2 linked regions of the Canis lupus familiaris genome follow. The protein of the gene in region 1 interacts with the protein of each later gene in a pairwise test. Links are inferred from orthologs where the notes say so. Each region holds a gene or a part of one and is shown in the gene's direction. Other genes may lie near its edges. The genes, in order: ZMYND19 and KCTD13.

Region 1 (4,586 bases):
CCCAGGCTGGACTGCTCCCTTGAACTCTATCCTCATACAGTCAACTGCTTGGCAGCCTGAATGCGTAGCATGAACAAGAAATTCATGTTTATTTTGCTAAGCTGCTGAGAACATAGGATTGTTACTGAAGCATAAACAGGTTTAAGCGGACTGTTACAGAAGACTGGCCCCGCACGTCCAAACACCACCATCACCCCCTGACTAGCTGCTGTATTCACTGGCTCCACAGCCTTCCTGCTTCCAGTCTTCCCCCTAAACTACTGTACCCCTCAGCCAGCCTGGCTCATGGAAAAGCTGCTCTATTCAAATTCTCCAACCGCCTCCCTTTGCTAAGTATAGAAATCAACGTTCTTCTAAGAGCCTACTAACCACCACCCTTGGCTCCCACATCTCTAATCTTCAGCCCTGTTCCTGTCCTGAACTCCTGTCTGGTCACAGCGGACAATCCCACTTTTCCCAACATCCCAGCCCAGGGCCCTGTGGCCAGCTCTTCCCCCAGATGCCCACATGGTGCTCTCTCCACTCCTTACACTGTTCAAGTCCATGAGTCAATGGGGCAGAGCCTGCCCACCACCTTCCTTAGGCCCCTAGCCTCCTAATGCTGCTCTCCTGGTTTCCCCCACTGCCTTTATCACTCATCACGGGCCGTTCTGATTTGCACTCCCGGGTACTTTCAGTGGGAGTGCGGGCGGCGGGGTGGTTGCTAGGTAACAAGGGCGGCGGCCCCCGAGTGTCCTCCCGCCCCGAGCGCCCTCCAGCCTTCAGGTCCTCCCGCCCTAAGCGCCCAGCAGGAGCGAGCGGAGGGCAGAGCGGCCGCGGGCCCATCACCGCAGCCCGGTTCACGGCCCGACCCGCGGGGAAGGCGGCGGCGGCCCGAGCGCAGGCAGTGCGGGGGAGACGGGCCCCGTTGGCACAGGGGCGGTGTCCAGGGAGGGAGTAGGGCGGCCCGCGCCCCTCGCCCCTCGCCCCTCGCCCGCCGTCCCGCGGGTGCGGAGCCGTTTACCGGGAGCCGCAGCGAGTTCCGCAGGACCCTTCGGGCCGCCCCTCCGCGAGGGGGCGGCGCGTGGGTTCGGGGGCCAGGGGCAGGGCCGCGGCCGGGCGTTGGGGCCGGCGCCCGGCCTGAGCCGAGGGCGGCCAGCGGGGAGCAAGACGCCGCAGCGCGGCCGCCAGCACAAAGCTTCCCGCGAAACTGACGTAGCGCGGGGCGGCCGCGCAAGCGCCGCCCTCGGCCGCGCCCCTCCCCCGCGCTCCCACTGCTCCTCAGTGCGCCGGCGTACTTCCCCTCCTCCCATTGGCCACGGCGCGGCGGCGCGCGCAGGCCGGCGCGGGGCGCACCCCGCGATTGGCGGGTCGGCGGCGGGCGGGGGTGTGTCCGCGTCGCACCCCGCCTCCGGCTCCGCTCGCGGTGGTGCGCGCGGCGGCGGCGGCGGCGGCGGTGGCGGCGTCGGCGGCGGTGGCGCGTGGCAGGTCCGGCGGGCCCGAGGCGGCGGCGGCCCGAGCCCGGCCCAGCCTCGTCCCGCCTGGCCCCGACCCCGGCCCGCCGGCCCGGCCCACCCGGCGCGCCGCGGCGCCGCCCCGGCCCGGCCCCGGCCCCGGTCCCGGTCCCGGCCCGGCGCCTCCCGAGGGAGCGGCGCCGCCGGCCGAGCGCAGGCCTGGCCATGACCGACTTCAAATTGGGTATCGTGCGGCTCGGCCGGGTGGCCGGGAAGGTGAGCGGCGCGGGGGCCGCGGGGCCGCGGGGCCGCGGGGCCGGGACGCTGGGCTGGGGCCGTGGGGTCGGGGGCTGCGGAGCCGGGCGGGCGGGCGGGCGGGCGAAGGGTCCCCGCGGGCAGCACAGCGCCCTTCCGAGGCGGCAGGACGGTGTGCGTGCGTGTCGGCGCCCGCCAGCCCGTCGTGGAGCCTCGCGCGGGGTTCACGCTGCCGGCGCTGGCCGAGTGCGGACGGGCCTCGATGGGCCTCCCGGAGCAGGGCCTCCCTCTGCTTCTCTCCCTTACCTGGCCCCGCCCTCCGCGGGTTCGAGGCCGGGGCTTCCTGGCACCTGTGGGCATTGAGGCTTGGCTGTTTCCAGGAGCCGGCCGGCCGTGCAGCTGCTCCAGCCACGGACCTTACCCTGGATGGGAACCCTGTTCCCATCCCCAGCGGCGGCAGCTCCTGGTGGGAGACAGGAGCAGAGGCAGTCAGATGAAGGTAAAACCGACTTAGATCTTAGAAGGAGGCTCCCCGAGCAAGAATGAGACTAGTCCGTTTGGGGGGCCGTTTCCTGCCTTTCCTGCAAGAGGAATGTGGCTTTTTACCTGGGGAAGGGTGGGCTCCCCATCGGCTCTGAGACCTTTTCTTATTCAGTGACTGGTTGCATTCAGATCATCCTTTAAAACTTATTTGGAACATTTCAGAAGAAAGCTAAACAGTTCAGTGAGCACCTGTGTACTGCCACCCATCCTAATAAATAAATGTTTTCGAGGCCTTCTGTATGCCTTGTCTCACTCCAGGGCCCCTCCTCTGTTCCGAGGAAGCCCCAGTCTCAAATGAGGGTCAGCAGCACCTGAAACACAGCTTAGAGGTTAGCCAGTCCAGGGGCACTTAGGGCTTAGGCGCGTATGGATGGGAAGTGAAGCCTGATTCCTACTCCTCTGGGACAGTCTGGAGTGGGAAATGACCACCTGCCTTGGGGGTAGGGTACTTGGTGCCCCTCACCTGCTAGCCTCATTTAACCTGAAGGGGCGGTTTCTGTTACTAAAACTTTACTGTGACCCTGAATGTAACATTGCGAAACGTGGTTAATTTCCAGACGAAGTACACACTGATAGATGAGCAAGATATCCCGCTGGTGGAGGGCTACTCCTTTGAGGTAAGGATGGCTGTTTCTCTGTGGGCCTGCTTTCAGCCAATGCTTGAGGAGGGTCAGGAGGAATGGGTTTTACCCTGTGTTGTTGGTTCTCTCCCACTTTCACCCTGGTGCAAGTAGATCACATTGTGTCGTGTTTGTGATGATGTTCAGTTGGATAAGCCCTGGCTCCCTAGGGGACTGTCCAAGTGCCACCTCATGTTTCTTCTGGCCTTGGCCCAGCGTTCCTCCATCCCCCATCTTCCTGAGCTCCCTTGCCTTCCACTCTTCTCTGTGGGATGAGCTTCTGTTCACCTGCCCATCCTCACCTACCGGCTCCTCCACTTCAGAAATCCTTGAGGGCTCTGTGGACCCACTATGCTTTATCTCAGCCCTTCGTGTTTTTACAGAAAGGGTGGCCCTTGAACAAGAGTTTGAACTGCACAGGTTAACTTAGATGTGGGGGGGGTTTTGATAAACATAGTCTATTACTGTAAATATATTTCATCATGACTTCTTTGAAAACGTTTTCTTTAAGAATATAGCATACGATATGTCTCACATACAAAGTTTGTGTTAATCACTTGTTTGCCTCAGTAAGGTTTCTGGTCCAGAGCAAGCTATCAGTGAAGTCTCCGGAAGTTAAAAGTCCTATGCGGATTTTCACCTGTGTGGGGGCTCTGTACCTTACCCTACGTGTTCAGGGCTTAGCTATTAGTTACTTGTTCAAGGGTTTGTTTTTCTCACTGAATTGTGGGCATTTTCTAAGAGTAGGAAAACTTGTCTCTTTATGTCTACAGTGTTTTGCAGAGTGGTTTGTGGAGTATGTTGGGATACAGGGCTGGCTTCTCATGTCTGGGAGCCTCTGCAAAGCCCGGGGTCCCAGAAAGAGGCCTCATATATTTGCTCTAACTTGTTTGTTTCACTTCACTTCTTTAATAAAGTTTGAAAATGTAGCTGAGACCTGAAGGCTTTTTAACAGACCATTTCTCTCTCAGGCCCGGATGGAAGTAGATGCAGATGGAAATGGTGCTAAGATATTCGCATATGCCTTTGACAAAAACCGAGGAAGAGGGTCAGGAAGGCTCCTTCACGAGCTGCTGTGGTAGGTGTTTATGAGCTGCTTGTTCCTCATTTGGGTACTGCATGCAGCAACCTGTCCCTGTTGACAGAGGATGTGTTATCGGAGTCATGCTCCCCCCACCACCCCTCTTGTTACCTTTGAATCATTGCCGCTAACCCAGAGGAATGGCTCATTTGTATAGCGTACCACTAATGGAGCAGTCTAAAAGTGCACTTTCTGCTCAGGCACTTGTACCGGGCATGGCTCTCTCTCTGGGGTAGGGAGGACTCTGCTCCGTCCACTGTGTTCTTGCTGAGCCTGTTGGTGGGATGTGAGGAATGGCCTGCCTCCTCGTGGCGTCCACGGTGGAACTGCTGCTTGGAACTGCTCAGATGGGGTGTTCTCTAGGCTGTGTGTTTGATGGTTGGGGGCTCCATCCTTGGCTTTTTGCAGCCCAGCTCTCAAATCAAGGGGCTGAACTGTTAGCATGGTCCATCTTGTTTGACCACAGACTGACTGACATACTTGGATTCCTCTCAGCAGCCTTGTTCCTGACGCTCTCTGTCAGTGTGGCGAAGGGCCAGTTCAGATCCCACAGCTGAAGTATTTAGGGAGGCCTGAGGTGGCCGATTGCAAGACTTGTCTGTTTCCTAGGGAGCGGCACAGGGGAGGCATTGCTCCCGGCTTTCAGGTGGTACA
Region 2 (4,335 bases), on another chromosome or scaffold:
GTTATGTTTGGTCATTTTTGTGTTTGGGCAATGTTGGTTTTGTGTTCAGAAATAATTATGAAATGGTCTTTCTCTCAATCTGTCAGAGTGCCATGGCCTAGCTGATAGTGCCAGGCCTGCTCCTAGCATTACCAAGGTTTCCACAGGGAGAGTGTAAACTAGCTCCCAGCTGTCCTGGGCTGCCTTTTTTTTTTTTTTTTTTTTTTAAATCAGTTGCACTTGAAAAATCAGAATTGGCAACCTCTTTTGGTAAAACATGAGCTCTCTGGGTCACCACAGGCTCCATTACTCCCCAATACCTTGTAATGCCCCACCCCACTCATGTACACTCCTAACTGTTCCCTGGCATTGAAATCTGCACCCCACACTAAGCAAAATAGGAACCAAGCCCAGAGAAAAGTGACTTGGCTAGGATCACCCAATGAACTTGTGGGAGAGTGGAAATTGTTTACATTTTCCCTCCAGCAAACCCCCATGCTAGACATTAAGATCCTTTGTTAAATCTCTGAAGTATCAGCCTCTCAACGGAACGTAGATCCAGTCAGATAAACACTTCTCAGTACATTTTCCTGTCAATAACATGTCCCTGACTTATTCTTTCTTTTTTTCGGGATTGGGCGTCTCGAGACCTTAGCTGGGATTCTAAAACCTTTGCTTGGCCGCTGCAGCCATCCCTGACATTCATTCTGCTCAATACCACAGGCGTGTTTCTGCCTGGAGTCTGTGTGTGTGCACTTCCCTCTGCCTGGAGTTCTCCCTCACACCTTAGTGTGGCCTCGTCTTCTCAGCTTCGGCTCTGCATCACTTCCTCAGGCACGCACTTCCTGACGACCTTACCTACTACACACACCCTGCATGTCCTAGCACTACTGTCACCTCTCTAAGGAGGCCACCTCACTTTGGCCTCTTGTACAAGTCTCCCTTGGTGCTTTGTTCGAAGCTCTCCGCAGTCTGTCAAAAGCGCGGGGATGGGAGGCGGAAACCTTGCCTTTCACGCCCGCGAAGCGCTCTGAGGGCAGAGACTCAACCACCGCGAGGCGACCTCGCTTTCCACAGCAGGCATGTGGCGGAGCCCGTCCTCCAACCACTGTCCAAGACCCGCGCGAGTACCTCACGTCGCGCGGGATCCCACCCCGCCGGAGGCTGCGCGCTACCTCTCCACGGGGGCCCTAGGTCACCACGCATGCTCCGCACCGCCGGCGCGCGAGGTCAGGGGCGGGACCTTGGCGCGCCTGCGCACCTGCTCAGCCTCGGCTTCCGGGCGGCGTCGGCGTGATGGGGCTGAGGGCTGCGGCGGAGTAGCCGCGGCGTGTGGTCGTGTGGACCTCGCTGTCTGTTCCGACGGCTCGGGTCTCGGGGTCTTTGGGAGCCGCCGGAGGGTGCGGAGAGAGCCTAGGATCGCGCCGTCCGCCGCCAGTCCCCGGCATGTCGGCCGAGGCTTCGGGCCCGGCGGCGGCCGAGGCCCCGTCCCTGGAAGCCCCCAAGCCCTCGGGTCTCGAGCCTGGCTCCGCCGCCTACGGTCTCAAGCCGCTGACCCCGAACAGCAAGTACGTGAAGCTGAATGTGGGCGGCTCGCTGCACTACACCACGCTGCGCACCCTCACGGGACAGGACACCATGCTCAAAGCCATGTTCAGCGGCCGCGCGGAGGTGCTCACTGACGCGGGAGGTACGCCGCGCCGCACTTACCTGTGTGGTCCTCCATCCTCCAGATCCCCGTCTGCCTTCCCTCGCCCAGTCTCCTCATATCCCCTCTCTCGCGTCTCTACCGTGCAGTCAACTCATTTCACCTCCCTCCAGCCCCCCCATCCAGTCTCATCGCCCCTTCCTCATTCATAATTCCCCTCCTATCTCAGTCCTTTATCCCTAGCAATAACCAACATTTAAGGGAACATCACATGCCCGCTTCCAACACGCGCTGTGGTAAGTAATTCAACACGTCACTTCCGAATTTTTATTACCAGTCCCCTCCAATTCTCCCACCCTTTACTCCTCAGCTCAGACGACTTGGGAACCAGTCCTGCTACCAGCAGCACCCTTCCAGGCAACCTTCATGTTCCTTCCAACTGCCCAGCCTTATGTTTGCCTCTCTACCTCAGCACTGCTAACAACCGGCCTGGAGGAGTTGTCTGTCTCTGTATTCCTCCAACACAGGTCCCCGTACGCTCTAGGGATCCATTTGTAAATGCAGACTGTAGAAAAAGGCTGTTTTGGGGGTTTGCCATGGACACCAGAGAGAAGGGTGGACAGTTCTCTTTGGCAGGTGAACCTTACCTTCTTGGAGTGTTGCCTTCAGGGTTGGAACCCACATGCCCAGGTGGAACTGTAGTTTTTGTGAGGGTGGGGGAAGGTATTGAGAGGGGTATAACAATGATAGTAAAGAGCAGGAAAATTAAAATTTGGGCGATGGAGTTCAATCTTAAAATATCTGAGGTTGAAGGATTTGATTATTCAACAAGTATTTGTAAAGTGCCAGTTAGTGCCAGAGATACTTTGGTAAATGAATCAGACAAGATTAGTCTTATAGACTTCACTTTTTTGTGGGGGCAGGAGGAAAATAATAAGCAAATACACATATGAAAAATACGTGTGAAGTTCTATGAATAATATAAAGGTTGAAATGGTAGTGAACTGGGGGGTGGGGTAGATATTTTAATTAAGGCAGTCAGAACTAATGCCAAAGGTTAGAGTTTGTTGGTAAGGTAATCATTTTCATTGCAATCATTTTCTCATGGTGAGAACTTTTTCAATTCAGAACAGACCTGGAAAGGAATTCATTCTCTGTGTCTACGAATGTTAAAAAGGGGTCTATGGGAAAACTCACTGGAGATGTTTTAAAGGGATTTTCTTGGATGTGGCAAAGGTTTGAGACAGATCAGTATTCAGACCTGTAGCTTTGGAATCTGTTTTTCATAAAAATTTAGTAGCTCCAGAGCCCCCTGCAAAGCCATCCTTCCTCTTGCCTGTCTCCACTCCACCAGGTTGGGTGCTGATTGACCGGAGCGGCCGCCACTTTGGTACAATCCTCAACTACCTGCGGGATGGGTCCGTGCCACTGCCTGATAATACCAGAGAACTGGGGGAGCTACTAGGCGAAGCACGCTACTACCTGGTACAGGGTCTGATTGAGGACTGCCAGCTAGCATTGCAGGTGAGGGGCCCTGGGTCCCACCTTATACCCATGTCTCTGGGAGAGCTGTCTAAGCACTTAGATACTAGCACATTAAAAAATAGAGGGGAGGTATCTGGGGTATTGTTTGGAGAGGCTCCCTATGGCCTGGCTGTGACTAGCCATAACTACAGAAAATTTGGTTGGAGGTGCTTTCCTGTGTATTCCTGCTACCTCAGGAAGGACCTCCCTCACCACCTCGTGCCAGGACTATTACAGTAGTTTTTTTGTTTAAGATTTTATTTATTTTTTCATGAGAGACACAAAGAGAGGCAGAGACATAGGCAGAGAGAGAAGCAGGCCCCATGCAGGGAGCCTGATGTGGGACTCGATCCTCTGATTTCCAGGATCATGCCCTGGGCCAAAGGCAGACGCTCAACCGCTGAGCTACCCAGGGGTCCCTGTTACAGTAGTTAAATGACTGTTCTCTCCTTGCTGTTCCTACCTGGCTAATCCGGCAATCACACTACCACCTGAGTGATGATCCTTAAACAGTCTAGTCTCCCCTTTGCTCCTAAATCTTAAATAACTCCCTGTGCCACTAGGAAAAAAAAATCCAATTTTAAATTAGAATATAATGATCTCTGTGATTTGGTCCTGTCCTGGGAGGCAGTATTCCACCCCCAGCCAGGTTTTTGTTGTTGTTGTTTTTAACTTCTTTTTTAGCAATGAAATCCTAGAATCAGAGCTGCTCCCCAAAAGACAGATTGGGGGTTCCACGCCCCAACTTCTGGGCTTCTCTTCTATGGATCTCAGGGTTCTGAAGAGAGCTTAGAAAGCACAGCCAGGACCTGTGGGTTAAGTGTCACCTCTACCACAGCTGACTGAGTGACCTTGATTAAGTCAGTTCCTACCTCTGGCATTCTGTTCTCATGTTCCAAAAGATAGGAAAACAAGAAAAATATGTACACTGTAGTGAGTTTTACATAAAGCCTTTTATTTTGTTCTATTTTTACATTGTTAAAAATGTACCTTCTTTTATGATACAATATTACTAGGAGATTATAAGAGTTTCTTTTTTAGTGCCCTTTATATATTAAAAAGTGGCGACTATAAACAGTTTTCTGTTATCTTGGTGAATACATATCGGTTCTTGAAATTCAAAAGTATAGGGCAGCCTGGGTGGCTCAGCGGTTTAGCGCCGCCTTCAGCCCAGGGCATGATCC

The links.
Region 2: the proteins of ZMYND19 (region 1) and KCTD13 interact in binary tests that used the Homo sapiens proteins (3 or more experiments, as listed by UniProt). The two-hybrid records come from large-scale screens. The link is inferred for Canis lupus familiaris from reciprocal best matches to the Homo sapiens genes ZMYND19 and KCTD13.

What each region holds. Positions count from the first base shown.
Region 1 is NC_049230.1:48,177,207-48,181,792, forward strand, and holds the start of ZMYND19 (zinc finger MYND domain-containing protein 19), read left to right. Parts: upstream 1-1,610; 5' UTR 1,611-1,658; coding exon 1,659-1,709; intron 1,710-2,788; coding exon 2,789-2,848; intron 2,849-3,822; coding exon 3,823-3,929; intron 3,930-4,541; coding exon 4,542-4,586. UniProt on the Homo sapiens protein: May be involved as a regulatory molecule in GPR24/MCH-R1 signaling.
Region 2 is NC_049227.1:18,120,479-18,124,813, reverse strand, and holds the start of KCTD13 (BTB/POZ domain-containing adapter for CUL3-mediated RhoA degradation protein 1), read left to right. Parts: upstream 1-1,239; 5' UTR 1,240-1,425; coding exon 1,426-1,669; intron 1,670-2,981; coding exon 2,982-3,151; intron 3,152-4,335. UniProt on the Homo sapiens protein: Substrate-specific adapter of a BCR (BTB-CUL3-RBX1) E3 ubiquitin-protein ligase complex required for synaptic transmission.